2 linked regions of the Astyanax mexicanus genome follow. The protein of the gene in region 1 interacts with the protein of each later gene in a pairwise test. Links are inferred from orthologs where the notes say so. Each region holds a gene or a part of one and is shown on either strand. Other genes may lie near its edges. The genes, in order: apoa1b and apoc1.

What was found.
Region 2: the proteins of apoa1b (region 1) and apoc1 interact in a two-hybrid assay, tested with the Homo sapiens proteins (2 studies listed by BioGRID, with this or other methods). The link is inferred for Astyanax mexicanus from reciprocal best matches to the Homo sapiens genes APOA1 and APOC1.

Annotation. Positions count from the first base shown.
Region 1 is NC_064411.1:43,928,682-43,941,120, forward strand, and holds apoa1b (apolipoprotein A-Ib), read right to left. Parts: upstream 5,267-12,439; 5' UTR 5,202-5,266; intron 4,630-5,201; 5' UTR 4,623-4,629; coding exon 4,580-4,622; intron 4,451-4,579; coding exon 4,306-4,450; intron 4,213-4,305; coding exon 3,618-4,212; 3' UTR 3,260-3,617; downstream 1-3,259. Other genes in the region: T-box transcription factor TBX1, read right to left, coding at 159-324, 403-424. UniProt on the Homo sapiens protein: Participates in the reverse transport of cholesterol from tissues to the liver for excretion by promoting cholesterol efflux from tissues and by acting as a cofactor for the lecithin cholesterol acyltransferase (LCAT).
Region 2 is NC_064413.1:3,264,208-3,277,380, reverse strand, and holds the start of apoc1 (apolipoprotein C-I), read right to left. Parts: upstream 5,789-13,173; 5' UTR 5,630-5,788; intron 4,287-5,629; 5' UTR 4,273-4,286; coding exon 4,218-4,272; intron 3,042-4,217; coding exon 2,903-3,041; intron 1-2,902. UniProt on the Homo sapiens protein: Inhibitor of lipoprotein binding to the low density lipoprotein (LDL) receptor, LDL receptor-related protein, and very low density lipoprotein (VLDL) receptor.

The sequences.
Region 1 (12,439 bases):
AAAATAATTCTATTTGGAATTTGGGAGAAATGTCAGATTTTTTTAGAATAAAACATCAATGTTCATTTTACTCAAACATAAACCTATAAATAGCAACTGAAGTGGTCTCTTAATGTTGCAGTGAGTCTACAGCTCTGGAAAAAATGAGTCATACAAACCTTCCAGCTTTGGTGACTATCATCTCAGTTCCAAGCTGATCAAACTGCTGCCACAGGCCAAATGTCTCCAGCTGAACTTTGATGCCCGCTACCTGAGGGGCTTTGGCACAGGTGTCTTCAGGAAGGCAAGGCAAGCCCATGGTGCAGGCCTGTGGTAGCTTAGAGACTGAAGATAGACAGAATGAGCATTAGATTACACATTTATGGTCAGCAAAACAAAGAACAAAGGTAAAATCAGCTTTACCATCCAGTGAGGTTCCATCCATCCTTCTCTGCTGCTGTGGTTTGATTCAGTTACTCAGTTAAGTCCAATCTCTTTGAGAATATCCACATTCAAATTTCCTTGTAAGAAAAGGAATGGAGAGCGGCTTTAGGTGGCACTGTCTAAGAATGTCCTAGCTGAACTGAGCTCTCCTTCTGGTTTTTATACACTGTGAGATGCTAATTAGGCCTCTACTCAACACTCATTCATTCCTTTTGCACATAACCTCAGAAACCAAGATCATACGCTCCATCAAGACCAAGTACTGCTTAATTACATGTATATATTATTGACTGAAGACAGAAGACCATCAGTGCATCTGTGTCTTCGCGACAATCAATAATAAGTCCCTGTGGTCCGTTTGCAGTGTTCAACACACAGCTAATTGGATTTTTAGCACAAGTATCCTGTATGGAAAAGTAGAACTAGGAAACAAAGAAGTCGCCCTCTGACCCCTGGTGGACACTGTGGATGTGGTTCTTCAATAACTCCCCACTTTCAACTCTGCCCTCAGCTCAGTGCTAAATAAATGGATCACTTCTAAGCCTGAAGGGCCTGTCAGACGGCTAAAATGGATTGGCTAATAATTGCTTATTCTTTGGTTCTTCCAAAATCAAGGGTTTTTAATAGTTAAGAGTGTATCCTGTTTTTGTTGGAGCAACTGTCTCTACTGTCCTGGGAAGGCTTTTACTAGATTTTGAGAGAAGGATTTCTGTAAGGTTATATGTAATTTAATTATTACATTCAGCAGCAAGAGTTTTGGATAGAGCACCCACCATTATTCCAGAAAACACAGTTAATTTAGCTAATTTCCAGTGGGTTTTAAACCTATTCTGTTGGTAATACTTTTACAGGGACTAGACAAGCTTTTCTATGGCATGTCAATGGTACATTTATAGATAAAATTGCGCTGCTTAAGTATATTTATGATTAAAATGGCGCTGCTGGGTTAGCTAGGGTAGCTAGCTAGCTAGCTAATTGTGTGACTAAAACAGCATGACTGAAATAAATGAATGACTAGAATAGCACTGCTGAGGTAAATGTGTTGTGCTTTTTTGGTAAGGTTTTAAGTGTTTAATACATATTTTTAAACTGGAGCTTTGAACGTGCATTTTGTTTGAGACAAAATAACATAAAAATACAATTAAATAGCTATTTAATTTTGTTCAATGGTGAAAAAAGAGGTAGAATTAATGAAAACCTGTGAAAAATGGTATTCACTTCGGTATTCAGTTTTGGATAAACATTGTAATTTCCGTCCATCTCTGATCTCTTTATGTATTTATTCATTGTGATTTATTGTGGATTATCATAGGTGAACCGTTATATATAAGGCTGAACACTTTGATTATACAAAATATTAATTAGGTTTACATTAATTAAGCTAAAAATAATTTATAAGAAATGAATGCTGTTTCCTAAAGTTGAACATAACATGAGGCTTAATATTTTGGCTGATCTGTGTCAAACACTGACAGGGTTTAAAAACAGCGTCTCCTGCATATCATTCATTGACCTCATGTTTTTAAGGATCAAGATGTGCTTATGGATCTCCTTGCCTAATGTTCATGGATAAAAAGATTATAGGGTGGTGTTGGCAAGACTTTGCCTGAGGCAGTTCATGAAGTTGTCTCATCCATCTAATACTAATAAGTACAAGATCTCTACCAAACATCAGGTCAGGATCTGTTCCAGGTGATTTATTATCCTAATAAAACCCATTAGTCTCCAACAAACGCATTTCATAGGTCCTAGTGTAAATTTTCTGTTTCTGTTTTCTGTTTCTTTTTATTTTATTTTTTTCCAATTTTTTAATCAACAGGATAATGGACAATAACCAATTGATCCCTATATTTATCATTAAGTTATTGTGCTGCTTTACATTTGACCTGATGTCGAGATCTTCAGGTAGAAAATTTTAATTCAAATGCCCCACAAGTTAGATTTCATATTTAAAAAAGTTAAGAGAGGCTCACCAATATTTTAAATGAATAGTATTATACTGTTTACTGTCACTTCTATCTATTTGCGTGTCATTAAATCAGTCGTACACACAACACTGTCCAGCTTCTATCTGTGGAATTGCTTGAATAGTGTTTGGTTGATACTGTTGTCAACTGGTATCGATTAGCAATGCTAACCTGGGATAATGCTAACAGTAGTAACCTGGGACATAATAAAGGAGTTTATATTTTAAATAGATTTGACACAAAAAAGGACTGTCAAACCCAGTTGTAGTAAAAGTCTTTAGTTGACAGTTTTTTGACAATAGTGTTTTGAAGTAGTGTTCAATTGTCATATTCTTAGTCTTAATGCAGAAACTATTTTGTGTGTGTGTGTTTAATAATAGTTTGTTTAGCACATCTTGAGGAGTAATGAAAGTGAATATGCACTGGGGACAGTTTTGTTGGTCTACAAAGTCTTGTACGTCCCATTCTCTCTGAATAATTATGCATTACTTTATTCTGTTGAATGTAAAGGCTGTTTTAATTGGAAACTGTTTTTTAAAGATATTTGTATTATCATATTAAAGTAGTAGTAGTAAATTTATGTAGAATTAACGGAGCTAGAGAAAGTTTATGAGCTTTCTTGTCATTAATGGGGCAAAATAACCAAACAAATGATCCATGTCTAAAACCAAAGATTCTGTCATTTTGATTTTGCAGTTTTACAGCTAGAGAAAATATGATTTTATGTCCAAATAACCCTTAATTCACACATTTTATGTACCACCGTATGCCTAATAAATAATGTTAAACTGCTCTGCTAATGTTTAATGTATTGATGAGAGCCAAAGCTGAAGGACACCTTAAAAAAACACTTAAGACACAAAAGGAAGTTGTATGAAACAGTCTATTTTTATTGAGCCATTGTTTTGGCACACTTTTTAACAACACAGAAGCACAGCGAAAGGTATTTTTTAGCCAGGCGTTAAAGAATGTTGCACAAAAACAGGTCTTGCATATACTTAAGCATGTGTTTGCTTTAAGTGTCATCAAAAGCTTGGCCAATTGTAAGACAGGCAGTAAAAGTCCTTTGCTGCATCAGCGCGTGGTGTGAGTAAGTAAGTGTGTGATGGAAAGAGTCCTTTTGTATGATAAAGCCTTACAGACTTGGTGTTAGTAACAGGGTTTGGAAATGTAGGAAAGGGTTGAAAGAGGCTGTGATTTGGTGGGAGAGGTGTAGGATAAGAAGGTTTATGCCATGAAGGCCTTTTGGAGGGTTTCCACAATCTTCTCCAGCTGGGGCTTGATCTCTTCTCCCACGGTGGCCAGCTTCTTTTGCAGCTCTCCAGATTCGTACTTGGACTGCAGCTGTCCGAAGACGCTTTGTGCGTGGTCTCTGTACTCCTGGACGTAGGGGGCGACAAACTGCCTCAGCTCTTCCACGCGCTCGGTTGCCTTGCTACGCAGGACCTCCACGATGGGGGTCAGCTTGGACTTGGTCTCCTCCAGGTTGGTCTTGATCCTTTCCTGCAGATCCTTCATCACGGGCTCCATCTTGACGCGGAGCTGCTCCATCTGCTCACGGTGTTTTTCTGTGAACTCCTTGATCAGGGGCTCCAGCTTCTCACGGTACTCATCGAGGTGTTTCTTCACCACCTGGCGCAGCTCCTCGCGCTTGGGCTCCAGCTCTTTGCGCAGATCCTCAACATCTTTCTCAACCTTGGCGCGGAGAGCAATGACGCCTTCCACTACTTGGGGACCGATGGTCTCTCTGACTGGAGCAAGGGAGGTAGAAGCAGCCTCAAGGTAGCCTTGGATCCTTTGCAGGGACAGGGTGAGGCGCTCCCTGTGAAGAAGACAAGAACAAAGATCTTATAGTTACTGTTAGTCTTTAGAGTAATAAATGAGTAGGCCTGGAAAAATAAGCTTAATCTCTTACTTGACTTCCTTGTAGTCACCATCATCAAGACGGTCGATGGCTTTCTGAGCTGTCTCCTTCACCTGACCCAGGTATGTCACAACTGCAGACCTAATCTGTTCATAGTCAGTTGGTGCATCTGCCTGCATGTAGCGGGCCTGGCAACCTGAACAAGCAGGAAGAGGAGGACGAATTTAGACTAAAGATTTTGAACATGCTGCTGGAACAGACATACTGGACTAGGTATTGTTTAAACCTTTTATTATCAGTGTTGGCAAATTGGAACATTTTTTACCTGCGGCCAGAAGAATGGTCAGTGCTAGAGCCACGAACCTCATGATGGATCTGTGAAGAGAAGCAACAAATATTGCAGGTCAGCATCTTTTAAAGAGCTTTGAAGAGCAACAACACATCTTTGACAATTATTACCTAAAGCCTGATGAAACTAGAGAAACTCTCAAGCCGTCCTGAATGAGTTCAGTCTACAGCATATGTCAAGCCTATCAACCTACACTCTAATCCAGACTGGATATAACAGAGCTGCATGGAGTTACAAAGGCTTCACTACCAGATTAGCTCTTAACCATGGGATAATCTTCAATCCCCAAGATTACTCTTGGACAGCCAGGGAGGATTTGTCCCTATCCTGGGGTGACTCTTTAGGAGGCCTTTGCAAAGAATTAAAATGCTATTGGGAAAAATGTAAATGTTGTTCTAAATTGTGATTTTAGCCAGTCTTTCACAAATTAGAATTGTCTTTTAAACAACTCAAGTATAAAAACTAAAACTTAAAAAGTACAATGTCCTACAACAACTGCCTCTATACAATATATAAGTTTTCAGTGCGTAAAATCTTCAACTCTTCAGCCGTGGCTGTCCAGTGAAAAAGTGCCGGTTCCCTTGGCTCAGCTGCTTACCTGTTGATGATGCTGGTCTTGGAGAGACTGATGAGCCTGAGGTGGAGATGGATGTTTTATAGGGCCCCGGGGAGTGGGAGGGAACACTGTGGGGAGTGAGTTTGCCTCTGTGGAGTTGGACCTCACCCCCTCTCTGATTCACTGGACGAGTTGGGTACAATGGTCACCTACTGAGTAGAGGGGGAGGTTGTCATCGATAGAAGCACAAAAGTGCTGTGGAGATGTTTATGTTCAGTTTCTTCTGCTTTTTGGACGTTTTTCGTGCAGATAAGAACGTGAACATGTTTTTGTGTATTTGTGTAAACACTTGGTAGAATATTGACTTAAAAAGGTTTTGCATCATTCAAAAACATACTATTTGTGCATACTTCCTTTTAGAACTTTTTGATCCATTGTACTATTTACTCATCTGTCGCTTATACAGATAATATAATATTCTTTAAATGACCATTGCACACTTCTGTAACTCGATTAGAACCTATATAGTTTGCTCTGTTTTCATTGTAGTAAAGGCATAAGGCCATAAAGGGGGTTCAATGCTTGTGGCAGTGGAGAACCATTATTTCTATAATTATATATATCTATCCTCCAGCTTGGTAAAAATTGGATACTTTTAAAAAAAATTAACTTTAGCATGAAAAAAGCACATTTTTAATGCTTTTTGAGTGTGAAAGTTAAATAAATCAAATTATGTTGCAGATAATTGGGTCAAATGGTTTAGAATGTTAAACCTGTTCTTTACAGGTTGGAATCATTTGAAGAAATGACTTGAAATTACTTGAAAATGACTTAAATCACCTTAATTAAGTTAACATCTAAAATATCTTGTATCTCCAATCCAATCTCAATGCACATACCCTTACAGTGCATTGTTTAGTTTTTTATATTTTATATTTAGAACATACTTTAAAATATTGATTAAATTATCTTATTGCCTTTTATTTCATAATTTTATATGTTCATTTCTAACTCATTATGATTGCAAATAAAATTTAAATAACCAGAACTTTATGTTCCCAACAAAATCTGTGCACACAAGCTTGTAAATTTGCATGGCCGTGAACAGGCAGGCCATTAGTCTTGAGTGGGAGCATTGAGTAAACTGATAAAAAAAAAATGCAAACACATCTACTGCAGTAAAATTCAATGATCAAATCAGTGGCATTAGAGGGGAATCTCCTTCTTTCATTTGTTTTTTTTTTATCCCTCTGTCTTTTCTTTATCAGGGTAAAAGATCCAGCGCTCTCCTGGGTTCTCTGATAAGGTTCTGAAAGGGCATTGGGTACAGACCCGCACCATAAAGCAGTGTCGTAATCTTCATGGTACACTCTGTTACCATATCGCTGCATTAGAAAAAGCTGCCAGACTGCTCTGCATGCTGTGGCAAAATGACAAATGGGTTAAAGGGTCAGTTGAGCTGTCCAGTGTGTGTGTGGACTTTGTCTGTCACTACAGATTTAATGCAATTTTGAAGATATACGTACTGGTTTTTACACAGTAAAGGGATTTTAAGGCATGATGGAAAGGTTTATTTCTTAGTTGTATTTTTAACATACTAAAAAAAAATTAAACTTTATAACCCTGAGATCACACCTTGTAGCCTGGATGCATGTAGAAGCTAAAATCCTATCAGCAATTAGAAGCTTTCTATAACATTAGCATTCAATCTACTGGAATTAGGACAGAAATTAGCAGAAAATGTATCAATGCACTTTTTCAGCCTTCCTGATGAACTCTATGCTTAATCATTAACCTACAAAAGCAAAGAGAAAATCAGCAGAGCAAATTCATGGAATTTAAGATGGACTCCAGGGACACTATCCAAAATGCTCTGCCTATGTGGGAGTATGACGTCTGAGTCAGCAGAACTGCAGTTGACTATTAATATATAGGACAAATATGGAACCAGTCCATCCGTTTTAAATCCATTTGGACCCCTGAACATAGTGTCACACGTATGTAAGAATATAAGTTCAAAAGTGCAGAAAAAAAGTGCAAAGTCAAACGTCAGACCATTACTTAACCGCTCATCCCTGCTTCAATACTGCTAATCAATTTCAAACACTGTCCTTGTACTTTAGCCTTCTAGATTCAGTTCATGTTTTTAGAGTTGAGGATACCAAGCAAAGTGTTTTAGTTATTATTTTTTCCCTATCTTCTCCCAAACACATAAGGTGTGCAATAGCACATGGCTGTCATTGTTATTTTCTGTTTTTAAATTCTCCACGCATTCTCTATTGGGGACAGGTCAGGACTGCAGGACTTCTTGAGAAATGCATGGGTGCACATGGAAAAGATGTTGCAGCGTATGTAACTGCAAAATCTCAATGTAATTTTCTGCCATAGTTAATCGCAGAAGTGTACTTACACTCAAATTAAGTCCGGATAGTCCATTTAGTTAAAAATGATCTGGAATAATGATTCATCAAACCACAGTACTCATGTCCACTGTGTAATGGTCTATCTGGATACTTTTGTGACCAGAGAAGTTGATGCCTCTTCTGAACATGGTTAACATAAGGCTTGCAGTGGCATAAACATAAAGTTGTAAGTGTCATTTGTGGATGTAACTCCATTGTAGTGTTTGAGAAATATTTGCCAAAGGAAGTCCTACCAATGTTTATCTATCAGCTATTGTTGAATACAGGTTCTTGGTGCAGTGCTGTCAGAGGGTATAATGACATTTTAGTAATACTGGCAAACTGAAGATTCTCAACCCATCCTTGCTCCTTAAATATTCAACCTGTGATTTCATGCTGAAGAGATAAAAATACTCTAAAATGACTTGAATTTAAATAAAGTTTAGAACATTTTCTCTCTCCTGATAGATAATCAAGCTTGTACTGTATACGGGAATGTTTCTCAAAGACAGGCCGTCCGCTGTAACAAAGCATTAGCTTTCAATTGCAAATGAGTTCCCTCCCTCCTCGCTGATCCTGAGATGGCTCTGCACTTGATTACAGTGTCCCAAATCCCCAAACTTTCTCTTCACTTCACACGACTTTTATAACCAGGCTCACACCCCCTCTCCTTAATCCCCTCCACAATTCACCCGCAACCTTTCATTTTCCATTCTTCCTGCCAGTAAAACACCGGCTCCCTGCTGAGCGCATTTCTAAACACAGTGTCAATAGCTCTGTTCACTCCTTTAACTCAGCGTGGATCAGGAGACGACTGGCCAATTGGCCCCATTTGTCAGATCAGTTAAATGATAGTGGTGAAGGTTGAGTTGATCTTGTAGTTGTTATCTCTGTAATTACAGTAAGATACAGTAAAATATCATGCATCCTTTACTTTCCTTATTTATACGTATATATTTGTACGTTTATATGTCTAGAGTTAAAACAGGGTGTTTGGATAACTGTTACTTATTTTCTTGACATTTAATCTCCACCATTCGTTTTATTACTTTAATTCTTTTATTCGTGCCTTTATAATGATCAAAGGCTCAGTTTACAATTTAAATATCTAGATAACGGGAATATCTTAATTTTTTAAATTATTTTATTTATTTATTTAGTGTTTTTTGTACAGCTTTCTTTTTTCCAGCTATGGATAAGGTACCCAACCCATGTTCTTGAGTTAAAGCAGAGACACACAAAGTAAAAGTAGAAGTCCTCCTTTAGACCTCCACTCGAGTAAAAGCACAAAAGTATTTGCTTTTAGATGTACATAAAAATTATTAATTTAAAAGTATCATATTTTGTTATGGGTGTAAAGTAGGTCATGATCCATATAGAGTATAAAAATTATTTAAAAAGTTATTAATTTAAAAGTATCATATTTTGTTACGGGTCTAAAGTAGGTCATGACCCATATAGAGTATAGTCATATGATAAGCTTTGGACGCTACTGTTGAAATGCACTTTCATGCAAAAATGCTTTTTGATAATAAAAAAACTATATATGGCTTTTTTTTATTGATATTCTTTATATAAACAATAACCCCCAAATGTGTCTTAAGAGCTATCAGAATTTTTTTTTTCTAAAGGGATTTGTAGTTATGTTCATTTACCAATGTAAAAATTGCATTTGCCAAACATTTAAGAGCGTACAACATGCTAATCTAAGTGTAGAACTGAATGTAGTGTGGACAGTATTCTACTGGAGGACTGATAAAACAAACCTTTGGTCTGGCATTATCTCAGTTAGACACCAATGTCATCACTGAGAATAAATATTAGAACTAGTATCAGTTTCTTCTTTTAAACAACTGCCCTGCTGTTTTTATTGGTGCTAATTGCACTGTGTTATAATAGGATTATTCAGTCATTATTCAGGGTTAAAGACAGTACATTCAGTACTGGTTGCAGTACATTTCCCCAATATCTCCTAAATACCTAAGGAAAATGGTGGTCTTAAACATTGAAAACAGGATAAAGGAGCATAATAAAGTTTCAGCTTGAAATCTAAGGACTCCCCATATCAAACTACATCTAGCACTGCTTCAAGGTGACATCTTTGTTAGAGACTTCCAGGCATTTTTTTAACAAAACAATGCAAAGCCACATGCTGCACACATTACAAAAAAGAAATGACTGCAGACCAAGAGGGTACAGAACTGGGCTGGCCTAACATTTAAATGTAAAACACTTAGGGTTAGCAATGTTATTTTATTATATTATTTTGTTATTTTATATTCTGTTTATTGTTGAGTTAAAAGTCAGGTTAGCGTGTCTGTGTGTGTGTTTGTTTAAAAAGCGAGGGTGTACGGGTGCTGGCGCACCTATAGGAGTGAAATCTTGACAGTTAAACTATAGTCTAGGTTTGTTTCAGTAAGTGGCGCACCTGTGTTTTCCACTGTCAGGTTAGCGTTTAGCCGCTAATTCTAATGCTCCAGCCTTAGTGCTGTTGAATCCGGTAATCCAAGCTTACTGTAAATAAACAAATGCGCTTTACTGACCCAAATAAACAGTTTTCAGGAGAGATATCTGTGTAGATTAACATCCAGTGCTCGTTTGACTTTAAAAGAAGGTCATTTTTTATTACAACTTTGTTTACTTAGCTTAGCCTGCACCCTGCGCAAGGCACTTCACCATGCTCTTTGTTACCATACACCAAGTCAACAGTCTATTTTTGAGTCTTACACTTGCGCCGTCAAAACAGCAAAGGAGTTTAGCAATACCCTATTTTTCGCAGTATAGAGCGCATCGGGTTATAAGGTCCACTATTAACTAAACTAGCTAAGTTAATAGTGCACCTTATAACCCGACACAAGAGGAGCACATTGGAGCACACTTGTATAAACTACAATAGCATGGAAAAAGTAGAGCAAAAGTCACTTTGAAAGCATCTTTGCAGGGTTAGATTAGGTTTTTGGAAGGTGATGTGTGGGTGCCAATCATGGATGTCACGTGACCCGTGGGCGGAGGAATAGAGAGAAACTATGGCGCAAAACAAGAGACCATGGTCCACCACCTACACAACGACACACCGAGAACAGAACAAGATTTCATACAAAATTATTGTCAATAGATTAGTTGATTAAATATATATATATACATTGGTATATATTTGGCATGTGTTTCTTTCACATTCATTTTAATTCAGTGTTGCATGGATATTTCAATGAAAATGGCTGGAATTGCTGTCGTTCTGTTTAAACATGATGTTCCATTCACTGGATTCTTGGTGGACTTAGAGGTTTTCAATGCTAATATTTAGCTTGGCAGTTCATGATGTCCAGCTACCCTAAAGCCACTAAACGTTTTTTTAAACAAACGCCCACGCTTGAACTGATTTAAGAGAACTTTGCAACGGCCTTAATCGAACTGTCCCTTTGACACAGATACTCAGCAAAGTCCCCATGCAAATGCTGCATTACATAATGGTAAAAATGACCATGCAAAAAAAGAAATATTAAGATATTAAAAAAATATTAAATGATCAGTTCTCAACTTATTGGCATTGAAAAAAAAACATATCTAAGTAAGGAACCAGCAAAGCAAAGATTTGTCCGTGTTTTTAAAAGCTCTGTAAAATTATCTGATGTGTGAATTAGCTTTAAGATGCGTTTTGAGATTTTTCAGAATGGTGAGTCGCAAAAAAAAAAAAAAAAAAAATCATACACAGCATGTTAGCAAAATGCAAAAAAAAAAAAAATCCTGCATAAAATTTTAACTTAAATTAACCTCCAAGAACGTCTGTTCCAGCTAATGGTGAAGCTGGACTTCAGACTGCAGGTCAAATGACAGGACGGTTGGGACACACACTTCTGGACAGAGGATAAATCTTCACATTTTTGTTCCAGAATGTATTAAAATTGAATGTATTACTGTGTATGGAAACACTGTTACAGCTACACTCTGGAGGAGCTGTTGTGGAGACTGGAGGGGTAAAAGTTGGATGTAAATCATACATCATCAGTAGTGGACCTCACTTTTGCTCTTATGGCTGAAAGCTATAAAATCCATGCAGCAATGTTTGTAAGCAGTATCTTAAGTAAAGCCTTCCCAGAAGAGTTTTTATGTGGTTACTGCATCAAATTGTCATGTTTAATTAATTAGACTGCAAAATAAGTTTAGAATGTTCCAAAACTACAAACTTCCAAATACCAACATATCCGCTATTACATCACAGTTTAGCCCCGCCCATTAAGACACAGTGCAGCCAATCAGAACAGAGCTTAAATATGTATAAAAGACAGAGCAGTATAAACTGCCTTCTTGAATAGAAAGGAGAAAAAAAGGTTTTAAAATCATGATGCTTAGAAATAAAATTACATTGTGCGTAGTCTTTTTTTTTTATTTATTTTTTTATCTATTCTCAACTTCTCCCTGCTTCTTTCTGCAGTGATGGACCAAAGACACTGGGACACAGCAGATATACTTCTCTAAGTGAATATAATAAACAGTTTGTAAAGGAAATTTACCTTTCTCACACGGCAAATCTCAACAGTTGGAACACTGGATCAGTAAAGGCTGCGTCTCAGTTTGATTATGTATCATGCAGTTTAAATAAAAGTGTCAAAGCTACTTATTCTTAAATATTCACAAAACATACTCAGTGAAACAGAAAGGGAACTGCTGCAGATACTCTGAGGAACTTTGTCTGAAACCCAAAGCCTTACTGCCCACACTAGCTTACTAAGAAGGCAGTGTAGGAGCGTTTAGCTGTGTTACCATAGTCATTAGCATTTTAGCCCATTAAAAGAGGTAGATCACTAAACTTTAATTCAGCAGGAGAATTTGCAGTGACTTATGAAGATATATCAATACTTCATCTCATCCACAAAATTA
Region 2 (13,173 bases), on another chromosome or scaffold:
CACTTAGCAACCATGTGGAATATGTTGGCAACTGCCTAGCAACTACTTTAAATTGATAGCAACTGCCTAGCAACCAGTTAGCTGCTGCCTTAGCAACTGCCTTAGCAACCACCCGGAAAACGTTAGCAACTGCCTAGCAACCACTTAGCAACCACTTTAGAAATGATAGCAACTGTCTAGCAACCACTTAGCAACCATGTGGAATACGTTAGCAACTGCCTAGCAACTACTTTAAAAATAATAGCAGCTGCCTAGCAACCAGTTAGCTACACCTTAGCAACCACCTGGAAAATGTTAGCAACTGCCTAGCAACCATTTAGCAACCACTTTAGAAATGATGGCAACTGCCTAGCAACCAGTTAGCAACACCTTAGCAACCACCTGGAAAAGGTTAGCAACTGCCTAGCAACCGCTTAGCAACCACTTTAGAAATGATAGCAAACTGTCTAGCAACCACTTAGCAACTATGTGGAATGTGTTGGCAACTGCCTAGCAACCAGTTAGCTACACCTTAGCAACCACCTGGAAAAGGTTAGCAACTGCCTAGCAACCGCTTAGCAACCACTTTAGAAATGATAGCAAACTGTCTAGCAACCACTTAGCAACTATGTGGAATGTGTTGGCAACTGCCTAGCAACTACTTTAAAAATGATAGCAACTGCCTAGCAACCAGTTAGCTACACCTTAGCAACCACTTGGAAAACGTTAGCAACTGCCTAGCAACCACTTAGCAACCACTTTAGAAATGATAGCAACTGCCTAGCAACCAGTTAGCTACACCTTAGCAACCACTTGGAAAACGTTAGCAACTGCCTAGCAACCACTTAGCAACCACTTTAGAAATGATAGCAACTACCTAGCAACCACTTAGCAACACCTTAGCAACCACTAGGAAAACATTAGCAACTGCCTAGCAACCACTTAGCAACACCTTAGCAACCACTAGGAAAACGTTAGTAACTGCCTTGCAACCACTTAGCAACCACTTTAGTAATGATAGCAACTGCCTAGCAACCACTTAGCAACACCTTAGCAACCACTAGGAAAACGTTAGCAACTGCTTAGCAACCACATAAGTAATGATAGCAACTGCCTAGCAACCACTTAGCAACACCTTAGCAACCACTAGGGAAACGTTAGAAACTGCCTAGCAAACACTTTAGAAATTATAGCAACTGCCTAGCAACCACTTAACAACATCTTAGCAACCACCTGGAAAATGTTAGCAACTGCCTAGCAACCACTTAGCAACCATGTGGAATATGTTAGCAACTGCCTAGCAACTGCTTAGCAACCACTTTAGAACCGATAGCAACTGCCTAGCAACCACTTAGCAACACCTTAGCAACCACTAGGAAAACGTTAGCAACTGCCTAGCAACCACTTTAGAAATTATAGCAACTGCCTAGCAACCAGTTAGCTACACCTTAGCAACCACTTGGAAAACGTTAGCAACTGCCTATCAACCACTTAGCAACCACTTTAGAAATGATAGCAACTGCCTAGCAACCACTTAGCAACACCTTAGCAACCACTAGGAAAACGTTAGCAACTGCCTAGCAACCACTTAGCAACACCTTAGCAACCACTAGGCAAATGTTAGAAACTGCCTAGCAACCACTTTAGAAATTATAGCAACTGCCTAGCAACCACTTAACAACATCTTAGCAACCACCTGGAAAATGTTAGCAACTGCCTAGCAACCACTTAGCAACCATGTGGAATATGTTAGCAACTGCCTAGCAACTGCTTAGCAACCACTTTAGAACCGATAGCAACTGCCTAGCAACCACTTAGCAACACCTTAGCAACCACTAGGAAAACGTTAGCAACTGCCTAGCAACCACTTAGCAACCACTTTAGTAATGATAGCAACTGCCTAGCAACCACTTAGCAACACCTTAGCAACCACTAGGAAAACGTTAGCAACTGCCTAGCAACCACTTTAGAAATTATAGCAACTGCCTAGCAACCACTTTAGAAATTATAGCAACTGCCTAGCAACCACTTAACAACATCTTATCAGCCACCTGGAAAATGTTAGCAACTGCCTAGCAACCACTTGGCAACCATGTGGAATATGTTAGCAACTGCCTAGCAACTGCTTAGCAACCACTTTAGAAATGATAGCAACTGCCTAGCAACCAGTTAGCTATACTTTAGCCACCACTTGGAAAACGTTAGCAACTGCTTAGCAACCGTGTGGAATACGTTAGCAACTGCCTAGCAACTGCTTAGCAACACCTAAGCAACCACCTGGAAAACGTTAGCAACTGCCTAGCAAACGCTTAGCAACCACTTTAGTAATGATCACAACTACCTAGCAACCACTTAGCAACCATTTTAACTTTTCAACGTTATTAGCGTACTTTTCCAAGCCAACTTAAAGTTCGTTCACGAACTTTGCCTTTTCTAGTTTTATTATTATTATTATAATTTATAGTCAGATTCTTGCCATAAGTGGCCACAAGGGGTCCTAGAAGTACTGATATATTAAAATTGATTGTATCATAGTATTTATTTTATGTATTCTTGTATCAATTTAATTCACTTGTCCATGCATTGTTACACTGTAACTATAAATGTACCTATGTTTTAATGTAATATTATTGAATTCTAAGTTTACAATAAATAATCATATTTAATTGGCACAGAATAATAATTTAATAGTTTAATTTAACACCCAAATGTCCAAATATTTATAAACCACCAAAACTCTGAACAATTTTATTTAGGAGGCTTCTGTGGCTTGATGCATGAAATTTTATTTTTTTATCTTTCTAAATTATTATCTACCAAAAATCATTTTACTTGTAAAACTGTATTTGTATAAGTACATATACAAGAAAGTTATTTTTAAAAGTGTTAAGTGTATTTTGTGTTTATCTGCGTATTGCATTACTTGGTCTTGGCGGCGAACTCGCTCTGCTCAATCTCCTTGATGGTGGCCATGGTCTTCTCAGCCACATCTGATCCGAATTCCTTGACTTTTGTGTGGAAGTTGGCGAAGTGCTGCTCTATTGTGGGCTCCTCCTGGGCCTCTGTGCAGAGAGAAAAGGTTCATAAACTTGTTTAGAATGATTTTAGTGCAACACAATGTGTTCTGTAAGCATGCTAAAGGTTACGGCATATAAATAAATTACATTACATGCATGTGTGTTACTGTATGTAATGGCTAATGACTTATTCACTAAGTTAAGAGAGTTTTGTATTATATAATTTGGACTAAAATGACCATTTCCAATTTGAGTTGGAAAAGTTTGTTATAATTGCTTATTTTACAACAAATGACTTTGATCATGTCTCAACCACTGATTTACGCAGATTTTAAATAATAAAAAATCAGCTAAATGGCCCTTAAATATTAAACATGTACTGTGGTTTTAAATAATATAAATATACTTAAAGACAAAAAACTAAAAAAGTAATTTGTTGTTATTTTTGTTTTTTCAAAGCTTAAATTTATTGACTAATTAAATTACCTGAAATACTATTTAACTCTGTTATCTTCCTGTGAGAATGTCCACATTCTGATGAACATCTTAACCTTCATAATTAAATAATTTTACTCATTTTTTTTCTTTTTAAATGGTTTAAAGTTTAAAATGGGTAATTTCCCAAAAGAGCACATTTTAAAAGACCATTTAAAATATGTAGAAAGTTTCCTACAGCATTTTGTCCATCATTTTATCTCATGGAGCCCAGAATATATGGGTTAGTAGGTTACATGGATTAATGCTGGAGGATGGACAACAAATAGCTAAACTAGATGTATTATTTAAAAATATATACACTTTAGTTGCTACATTAAATAAATGTTTTAGGTTCCATGTATCTAATAATTGTTGTTTTTAGCCTTAAAATATTTAAAGTCATGTGCCCACAGTAAAGAAAAATAAACATTAATGAGCTGCACACTGAATTGATCATATTTACATATTTAATTTTGAATTTTATACCAATATTCAGAAGTGAACATATTTTACTAATTGATTTTACTAATATTATTTTATTTTTAAATGTTATATTATTTATATAGTACTTTTAAACGTATATATCTATGTCTTATGTATTTAATAATCTTAGGCTGTTGCTAAAAACTAAAAAAGTAATATTAGTTAAGTAAAATTCATCTGAAGCGTCAGTTCAGCTTGTTATCAAACAAGGAATCGATTCGCTCGAACGATTCGTGATTCGAGTGACTCAGTGATTCTTACCTGCGTGCGCAGCCAGCACGAGCACCAGAGCGGCAATGGCGAGGTACAGTCTCATGTTTGCTGGTTTTACTGAAAAAAAGAGAGAAAAATATCCACATATATTTAGTTATTATACACAAATGAGGTATTACAGAGCTAAAGGGCATTACAGAGACATGAAATATCCTCGAAAAGTAACACATTTAGGCTTAAATAAGCATTTTTAGACCTGAAGTTAATAATATAAAGTTAGCTAGCTAAGCTAACTACTAACTAGCTAACGTAATTAGCTAGCATAAAAAACAAAGCCATAGTTTTTACATTGGTTTTATCCTGTTTCCTTTTTTCAATCCACTTGTTAAATAACATTTTAAAACAGTATTATACAAATTTTAAAGAATCCTTAGTTGTGTATTTTTATCTAACCTTATATAATCCTAGCTAGCTAGCTAATTAGCTACATAAGTAACGCTAGTTAGCTACATTAGCTAGCTAGCAAGGGTTAACTCATATAGCTAGATAAAAATACACAACTAAGGAGTATTTTAAAGACGTACAATATCGTTTTAAAATGTTATTTAACATGTGTTTATCTAGCTTCCTTTCCTCTCTCATTCTAAATGTTAAATAACATTTTAAAACTAACTTATATTGTACAAATTTAAAAATATTTTTTAGTTGTATATTTTTATCTTTGGGTATAACTCTAGCTAGCTAGCTAATGCATATGTAGCTAATTAGCTAGCTAATTGTTTTAAACTGTTTCTCCTCTTAAACCTCACACAGAAAAGGTGTAAAACTGACTCCTAGATGTTGCCAAAATACAGCCTTGCAAAAAAAATAAAAATATATATGCATTATTAGCATTGTAGTAATTGTACTAATGCAGTTTTTACAGAAAAAAAAGCATAAACAAGAGAAGAAGCTACATAATAAAAACAAACCCCTATTTTTTAGAGAATACAGTAGCTATAATTTAACCTGTTAAACATTACACAGATACTGTAGTTTTAAATATTATAAATAAGACAAAAACTGTGATTTGCTGTAATTTTGTTGTTTTCATCCTTGATATTAGATTTGCATTAACGTTTAATTTTTAAATTTACGTTTTTTTTTTTTTTTCGATTTTTAAATGTAGTTTTAAAATATATCTTCCTGGATGAATGTCACTGAACTGAACTTCTTAACTTTTTAATTAATACTAACAAGAATTTGAAATGTTTGATATATGTTATTTTCTCTTATATGTTAGTTAATCTCCCACAGACCCTTTAAAGATGCAGAAATTTCTCTATTCATTTTACTCAGTGAGAGAGACACTGTAGTTATGCAATTTCTATCCAAAAAAAAAAACTCCTAAACAATAGAAGTGGCTAGATAATAAAAGCAGACCCCTATGTTGTTAGAGAATGCAGTAGCTATAGATGTACCTGTTTCGTCCTCTTCCAGAAAGAGAAGTTAGAGCATAAAGACAGGCAGACTGCTTGGCCCTATATAGTGAGCTAACAACCTCCTCCTGCTGACGTCATCACAAAACACACCACCTCTGACCCATCAAGGCCTCCCGTAAAGCTTACGCAGTTTTTGTTATGCCATCCAGCCCATTGAACTTCTGTCTTTTGGAGGGGAGGGGGGTGTTTTTGTTATGTATTTTTGTGTATGTGTTTCCATTTGCATAAGCCCCTTACATAAGCATTTTTTTTGTGGAGAAGACTTTAGTAATTTAGAGGTTTATAGGTTTACAGGTTTACTTACGTTCACTATTTCTGATTAAAAAGTGTATTAACGTGATGTACAGGACATACGTGTGTAGTGCTGCTAACCTTTGAGACTCATATCTCTGCCACATACCCAGCGAATGTGATATGTGCCTGCTTGCATGTTGGTGCATGGAGTAGTATGAAGTCCACTCGTTATCAGAATCGCAAAGACCTAAATAATCAATATCATCAAAAAATTACCTGGACCTTGCAACCTTCGATCCCCACTTTGGAAGAAAAATAACTGGCCAAACTAGGACTTACCTTAGACAACATAACATCCTATTAAACCCCTCTTCTCAGTTTTACTTTGCTGAAAGTCCTCTGTTTTTCAAGTCAAATTAGGACATATATAGAGGCCTATTGGTAGTTTTATAGTATATGAGTGTTAGTCAAATGTTGCAACACACACACACACAGCTGATGGCATGTTCCCTTTTTTCAAGCTGTTAAAGGTGTGGAATATGGAGCTACACTAGCGTTAATTTACTTCATTTAAACTCTCAGTTAAGCTCAGTAATTCAACTCATTACAATAATCTAGCTTAAAAAGCATTAAATCGACTCTGAGGTATTATTATGTAGTAAATCTATCCTGAGATATTATAATACAGTAAATCTATCCTGAGATATTATAATACAGTAAATCTACCCTGAGATATTATAATACAGTAAATCTATCCTGAGATATTATAATACAGTAAATCTACCCTGAGATATTATAATACAGTAAATCTATCCTGAGATATTATAATACAGTAAATCTACCCTGAGATATTATAATACAGTAAATCTATCCTGAGATATTATAATACAGTAAATCTATCCTGAGATATTATAATACAGTAAATCTACCCTGAGATATTATAATACAGTAAATCTATCCTGAGATATTATAATACAGTAAATCTATCCTGAGATATTATAATACAGTAAATCTACCCTGAGATATTATAATACAGTAAATCTATCCTGAGATATTATAATACAGTAAATCTACCCTGAGATATTATAATACAGTAAATCTATCCTGAGATATTATAATACAGTAAATCTACCCTGAGATATTATAATACAGTAAATCTATCCTGAGATATTATAATACAGTAAATCTACCCTGAGATATTATAATACAGTAAATCTATCCTGAGATATTATAATACAGTAAATCTACCCTGAGATATTATAATACAGTAAATCTATCCTGAGATATTATAATACAGTAAATCTACCCTGAGATATTATAATACAGTAAATCTATCCTGAGATATTATAATACAGTAAATCTACCCTGAGATATTATAATACAGTAAATCTATCCTGAGATATTATAATACAGTAAATCTACCCTGAGATATTATAATACAGTAAATCTATCCTGAGATATTATAATACAGTAAATCTACCCTGAGATATTATAATACAGTAAATCTATCCTGAGATATTATAATACAGTAAATCTATCCTGAGATATTATAATACAGTAAATCTATCCTGAGATATTATAATACAGTAAATCTATCCTGAGATATTATAATACAGTAAACCTATCCTGAGATATTATAATATAGGAAATCTACCCTGAAATTATAATATATAAAAAAAAGCATTTGCACTACACCGTTATTTTTGTACCCCTCCCAAAAATATAGTTAAAGTACCTTACATTTAAAAAAATGTAATCCCGATTTTATCCAGGCTATTGTTGGGATTATTACAATTATTTCTTAAGCGATATAATGACAATTTTTAACACTAATTATTTTATTCACATTTAAATACCCATTATCGAAAGCTTAGTCTTCAGAAAGAAAGAATGTGATTATTCCTAATTAATCACAGAAGTCTATTGTGATTAATGTGATGTATTTTTTTTTTTCGATCGACACCACTACAAATAACATTGCAAAAATCTTAAACTTATTTTAACTTGGGCCAAATGCACTGCAGCCCTACATTTGGTTACATCACTGGTCAGTTGTAAAGTATTTTGCTGATAAGGTCATGATAAAACACTCTCTGTGATCATTATAGAGACAGATAGAGGGTTTATCAGCTGGTATTGATTAGCTGTTTGTTTATCTGTATAGAATTATGTAAACCTGTGCAGTGATATCCCCGAGTAATACGGAGGAGTGCAACAAAATGCCCTGATTTGTTAAAGTGCTGAGACATCAAGGCTTATGTGTGTTAAGTAAACTTGATGAATATGATATTATATTCTCTGCTTCAGTTTGTGAATAAGTGAAATAACAGTCACTCTGTAGTCAGGGAAGCGGTGGATGTGTTTCTTTTAAATTTATTTAGTGTTCTGAGGCAACAGCATTACATTACATCAGCAATGATGATTACATTTTACAACATGGTGGTGCCAATTTAGTTTTAGCTTGTTGTTTCTGAACTTTCATCCAAAGATAACATCAAGCTTTCGATTTAATTCCACTGCTGTTATTTATTTACATATATAAAATAAATTTAGTTCCAGATTCTTGGTAGATTCACATTTTAATATCTAGAGAGATAATGGAGATGATTCAACAAAATCATCCTTCTAAATTTTAAATGGATGTCAGTATTAACCACATTTTTTCATAGTCATTCATTTGGTGTGTTTTTATTGTGCCATTCATCAGGAAAGATCAACTACAGGTTTAAAATAAGATTGCTATTTTTGCAATCTTATTTAAAAAACACATTAAATTAACATATTTAGATCACTTAATTATGCACCAGGAAATACACCTTATAGGAGACCTACAGAGACATATAGTTCAGATTCTTGGAATTTATATTAAGTATTATAGTGAGAGTTAAGAAAATATATTTAAATGCCTCATTAGCAAAAAAATCTATTTTATAATAGAAAAAGAACATTACTTAACTTTTAATTAAAGTCTGTGTAAAAATCTTATATTTCGAAGATCAACCGTGAGGTTCAGATGGTTTAAAAAAATGTGAGAAATACAATATATTATATAGGTTGTACTCAACTTAGTCTTTTTCTCCAAAAGTGCCCAAACACAATAGATTACATATTTACTCACTAAACATCAGTACTGTCCACATTTAAACAACATGTAGACATTTAAATGCCTTTTAAATCTCATGTTCAGCTGTTTTTTTTTTTTTTTGTTTGTTTTTTTTAAGAGATGGAAGACATGGCAGAAATAATCGTTAACTAATCGACTAATCGAAAAATAATAATCAGATTAGGTGACAACCAAAATAATCATTAGTTGCAGCCCTAGTTCATATAATAGACAATATCAAGATTATCAAATATAATTGAGGTCATGTCCATTTATTGTATGATAAGTAGATATAGAGTAATTATCCTGACAGGCTTGTGTCTGCAGATACTTTACTTTATGTACTGTATGTGAAATTTACTAGTTATGCCAAGAAAAGTGTTTCTAACCGACACGATTCCCAGCACAACTGTTGTGTTCCTGACAATAACGGCCCTAATTCTCTTTACTGTGTTTTCTGCTTCACTAAGTTCTCTCTGCCCTGGTGTTTTGGAATCATGAGTCACACGTTCGGACCATGCCGAGTCTATTAAAAGGCCTTGATCTCGTCAGGCCTGTTGTTTGGCCTGATTTGAGAAAAAGTGCTGAAAAAGGTCTCTGCGGCGTCTAGACTCAGAGCAGGAAGGGAAGTGAGACTCCGTGCAAATGAGGACATTGTTGATGAGGGAGTCATGCAGGGAGGCAGTGAACTGCAGTTACCTCTGGTCGTGAATATGAAAAGACCTGAGGCCCGAGGGGAACGAACGGCACTATTAGAAGCTTTTAATCTGGAGCCATTGGATGGCGTGTTTGATGGCTCGCACCATTAGGGGATTAGCTCTTGTGAGCTTTTTCTCACTTTTTCTTTGTCTTTGGGCTTTTCATATGAATGTGTAACACAAGTTGTTGCATGTATGCATGTCTTTACCCATCACTTTAAACTTTTGGGTAAAGAAGTTTGGAATCACTAGTCATATTAAAGAGACATTCCTGCATAATAAAACTGTAAACTCAATCAGAGCGATGATGTGTGAGATACTCTGTTCTGCAGAAACGTTTAGCCTTGTAAAAGCTAAACCAGAGAAAGTCATTACACCAACAGTATTTTTAAAAGTAGAATTATATAAACTGCCTGATGCCAGGGTCACTTTTTTTTTTTTGCAGACAAAAAATACACAATCATTCAGTTAAATTTGATGCAAACTCAACAAAAAATGTATAATAAACTTCATTAGCTTTAGTTAACAATTTAACCTTATTTTAAAGTACAGGAGATAAGTTGTTATGAATTAAATTAAATGTTATGTAGTACTAAAAGTAATAGTAGTAGTAAAGCAATACAGCTCTGGAAAAAAAATAAGAGACCACTTCAGTTCATAAATCCGTTTCTCTGCTTTTGCTATTTATAGGTTTACGTTTGAATAAAATGAACATTGTTGTTTTATTCTATAAACTACAGACAACATTTCTCCCAAATTCCTAATAAAAATCTTCTCATTTAGAGCATTTGTTTGCAGAAAATGAGAAATGTCTGAAATAACAAAAAAGATGCAGAGCTTTCAGACCTCAAATAATGCAAAAAAAAAAAAAAAAAAGTTTATATTCATAAAGTTTTAAGAGAAAACAATATTTGGTGGAATATCCCTGTTTTTTAATGACAGTTTTCATGCATCTTGGAATCATGTTCTCCTCCACCAGTCTTACACACTGCTTTTGGATAATTTTATGCTTTTACTACTGGTGCAAAAATTCAAAAGCAGTTCAGCTTGGTTTGATGGTTTGTGATCATCCATCTTCCTCTTGATTATATTCCAGAGGTTTTCAATTTGGTAAACTCATCATTTTTAAGTGGTCTCTTATTTTTTCCAGAGCAATAGTGCATTTTTTCCAAAGAAATGGCTGCGCATTGGCCTGATGAGATTATCACTTCACCAATTTAATCATTGAGTGATTAATCATTAACACAAATAAATAAGGCTAACAGTAGTGTTTGTCTGATGAACATGCTTTTGGGCAGAGTTATGGAAGGTTTAATGTGTGTGTATTTACAGACTTGTGTAATGTTTTTCATCTTTTTTTATTCCAGTAATTTACATGATTATTTCACCTATTTTTTCCCTGCTGTACAATATCCTAACAAAGTGTGTTGTCCACACTGTGGTGTGGATGTGATGTGTGTGTGTGTGCTTGTCAGACAGATTGAAAGGAAAGACAGAGATACAGAGACAGATAAATCATAAATCATGCTGAGTTTTTTTTCTATGTTGTGTGGAGCATGAAGCTGCGGGTCAGGACATGCACCAAATGTCAGTCATGCAGGTAAACAACTAAAGAAAGGCTCCTTTATAAAAAAAACAAGCGTCGGGTTAGGACACGTGCTCTTGTGCCTGGGAGAAGAAAGCGAACCCAAAGCGATGGAGTGTTTTAGGGATTATTTTGTGCTGTGCCAACAGTAGGGGGCGTCGTTGTTGCATTTTTTTTTTTTTGTCCATATTCAGGTCAGGACTGTGAACTAGCCAGTCCATGTGTATGGACATCCTTGGAAAATATGTTATCTAGAAGGCATCATGGGCCCCATTTTATACTATGTGCAAGGCACATTGTGATGCTCATTGCTATCTTACACTCCACCAACAGTCAACATTTTTTTTTTAATCCTTGTGCCTGTGTCATTTAAATAGCAAAGACCCATACGAAAGTGGATGTTGAGAACCTTTGCCCAACTTTGCTTTTCAAAGACTCAGCTTTTTAAAATGCAGGAATGGATGTATATTAACAAAGGAAGTGAAGTTTGAATATATAATGGGACCCTTTTTAGCAATCTATAACTTACTGATCATCATTGCGCATTATGCAGCTTGATTTAGTGCATGTCGGTGTGTCTTTGGTATCGTACGTTTGCAAAATTACACGTTGTGTAGCTTAAAACGCACAAAAGCCATGCTCTAATTCTCTTAATGAATCATGGGTGTGTTTAATTTTGGGCGTAACATGAAATAAACCAATCAGTTTGCCAGTAGTCATTCCCTTTAAGAGCCAAGTGAGCTCTGACTTTGGCACATTCGTATCGTAACAGTCCGGCACTTTTTGCGTCTCAGTAGAGGATACACCAGCAGCTCATTTATTTAAGGGAACAGCAATGTTATTTTATTCTTAATTCTGTTTATTGTTGAGTTAAAAGCCTTCTCTCACTTTAGTCATTGGAGAACCTGTGTTTTCCACTGCCAAGATAGCAACACGCCAGAACTTTAGCTGAACACACCTCACTTCCTAAACTCTAATGCTATTTTAACAGTTCGGGGGCAAGTCGTAAAAAATAGATTGTTGATGAGGTGTAAGGTAGCAAAGAGCATCACAACACACCTTGTGAAACTACAATTGGGCCCTTTGTTTTTATTTGCATTTTTTATACTGTCACAATGTTTTATGATATGGATTTATAATTTATTACGTTGCAAATATAATCACAATTTTATATATTTTTTTGTCAGTATCACCCAGTCCTGTGTGATGATTCAGTGGACGCTTGGAGGCGCACTGGAATCTCAGCAGGTTACTGGAGGTCGTTGGTCCCAGCACCTGTGAGCTGAAGCGCAGATGAAGTTGGTTGTTTGAATTGGAATTGCTGACTTGCAGAATGTTTGCGTTTTTTAATGTTTATCCCTCCAGCAAAACAGCTGACCCCTGCAGCTCCACCGTAAGAAGGGACTTTTGTTTTTGTTACTGGAAAATCGGGCATGATTTCAACATAGGCTTCCAGGAAAAGATCTCGAAACGAATGCAGTATCACTTCAACTTGTCTCTCATCTTTCTTTCTTTGTAATTTTGGCTTTACTACTTTTACACTGTTTTTCTGCCATATGCTTTTAAATAATAATAAAAAATAGGTCAAAAATAGTACAAAGTACTTAGTCATTAGGTGTGCATTTATGCATAACATGCAATACAGTAGAATGTGGGGATTTGAGATGTAGCCGCAGATATGTAGAGGGTGATACGTTATTGATTCCTAAGGGAGCATAAATAAGCTTATCTTAAGAAATTGTAACTTTATCTCCTACTATAAAAAATTTTCCTCCAGAAAAAAAACACCCCCAAAGGCTGATTTATCAGTGTACAGCTGTATGCTTTCGCAATACCCCAGTACACTTTTACAAGATTTGACAAGCTGATTGTAAAGATGAGTGGGATTAGGAGAGAGGAGGAG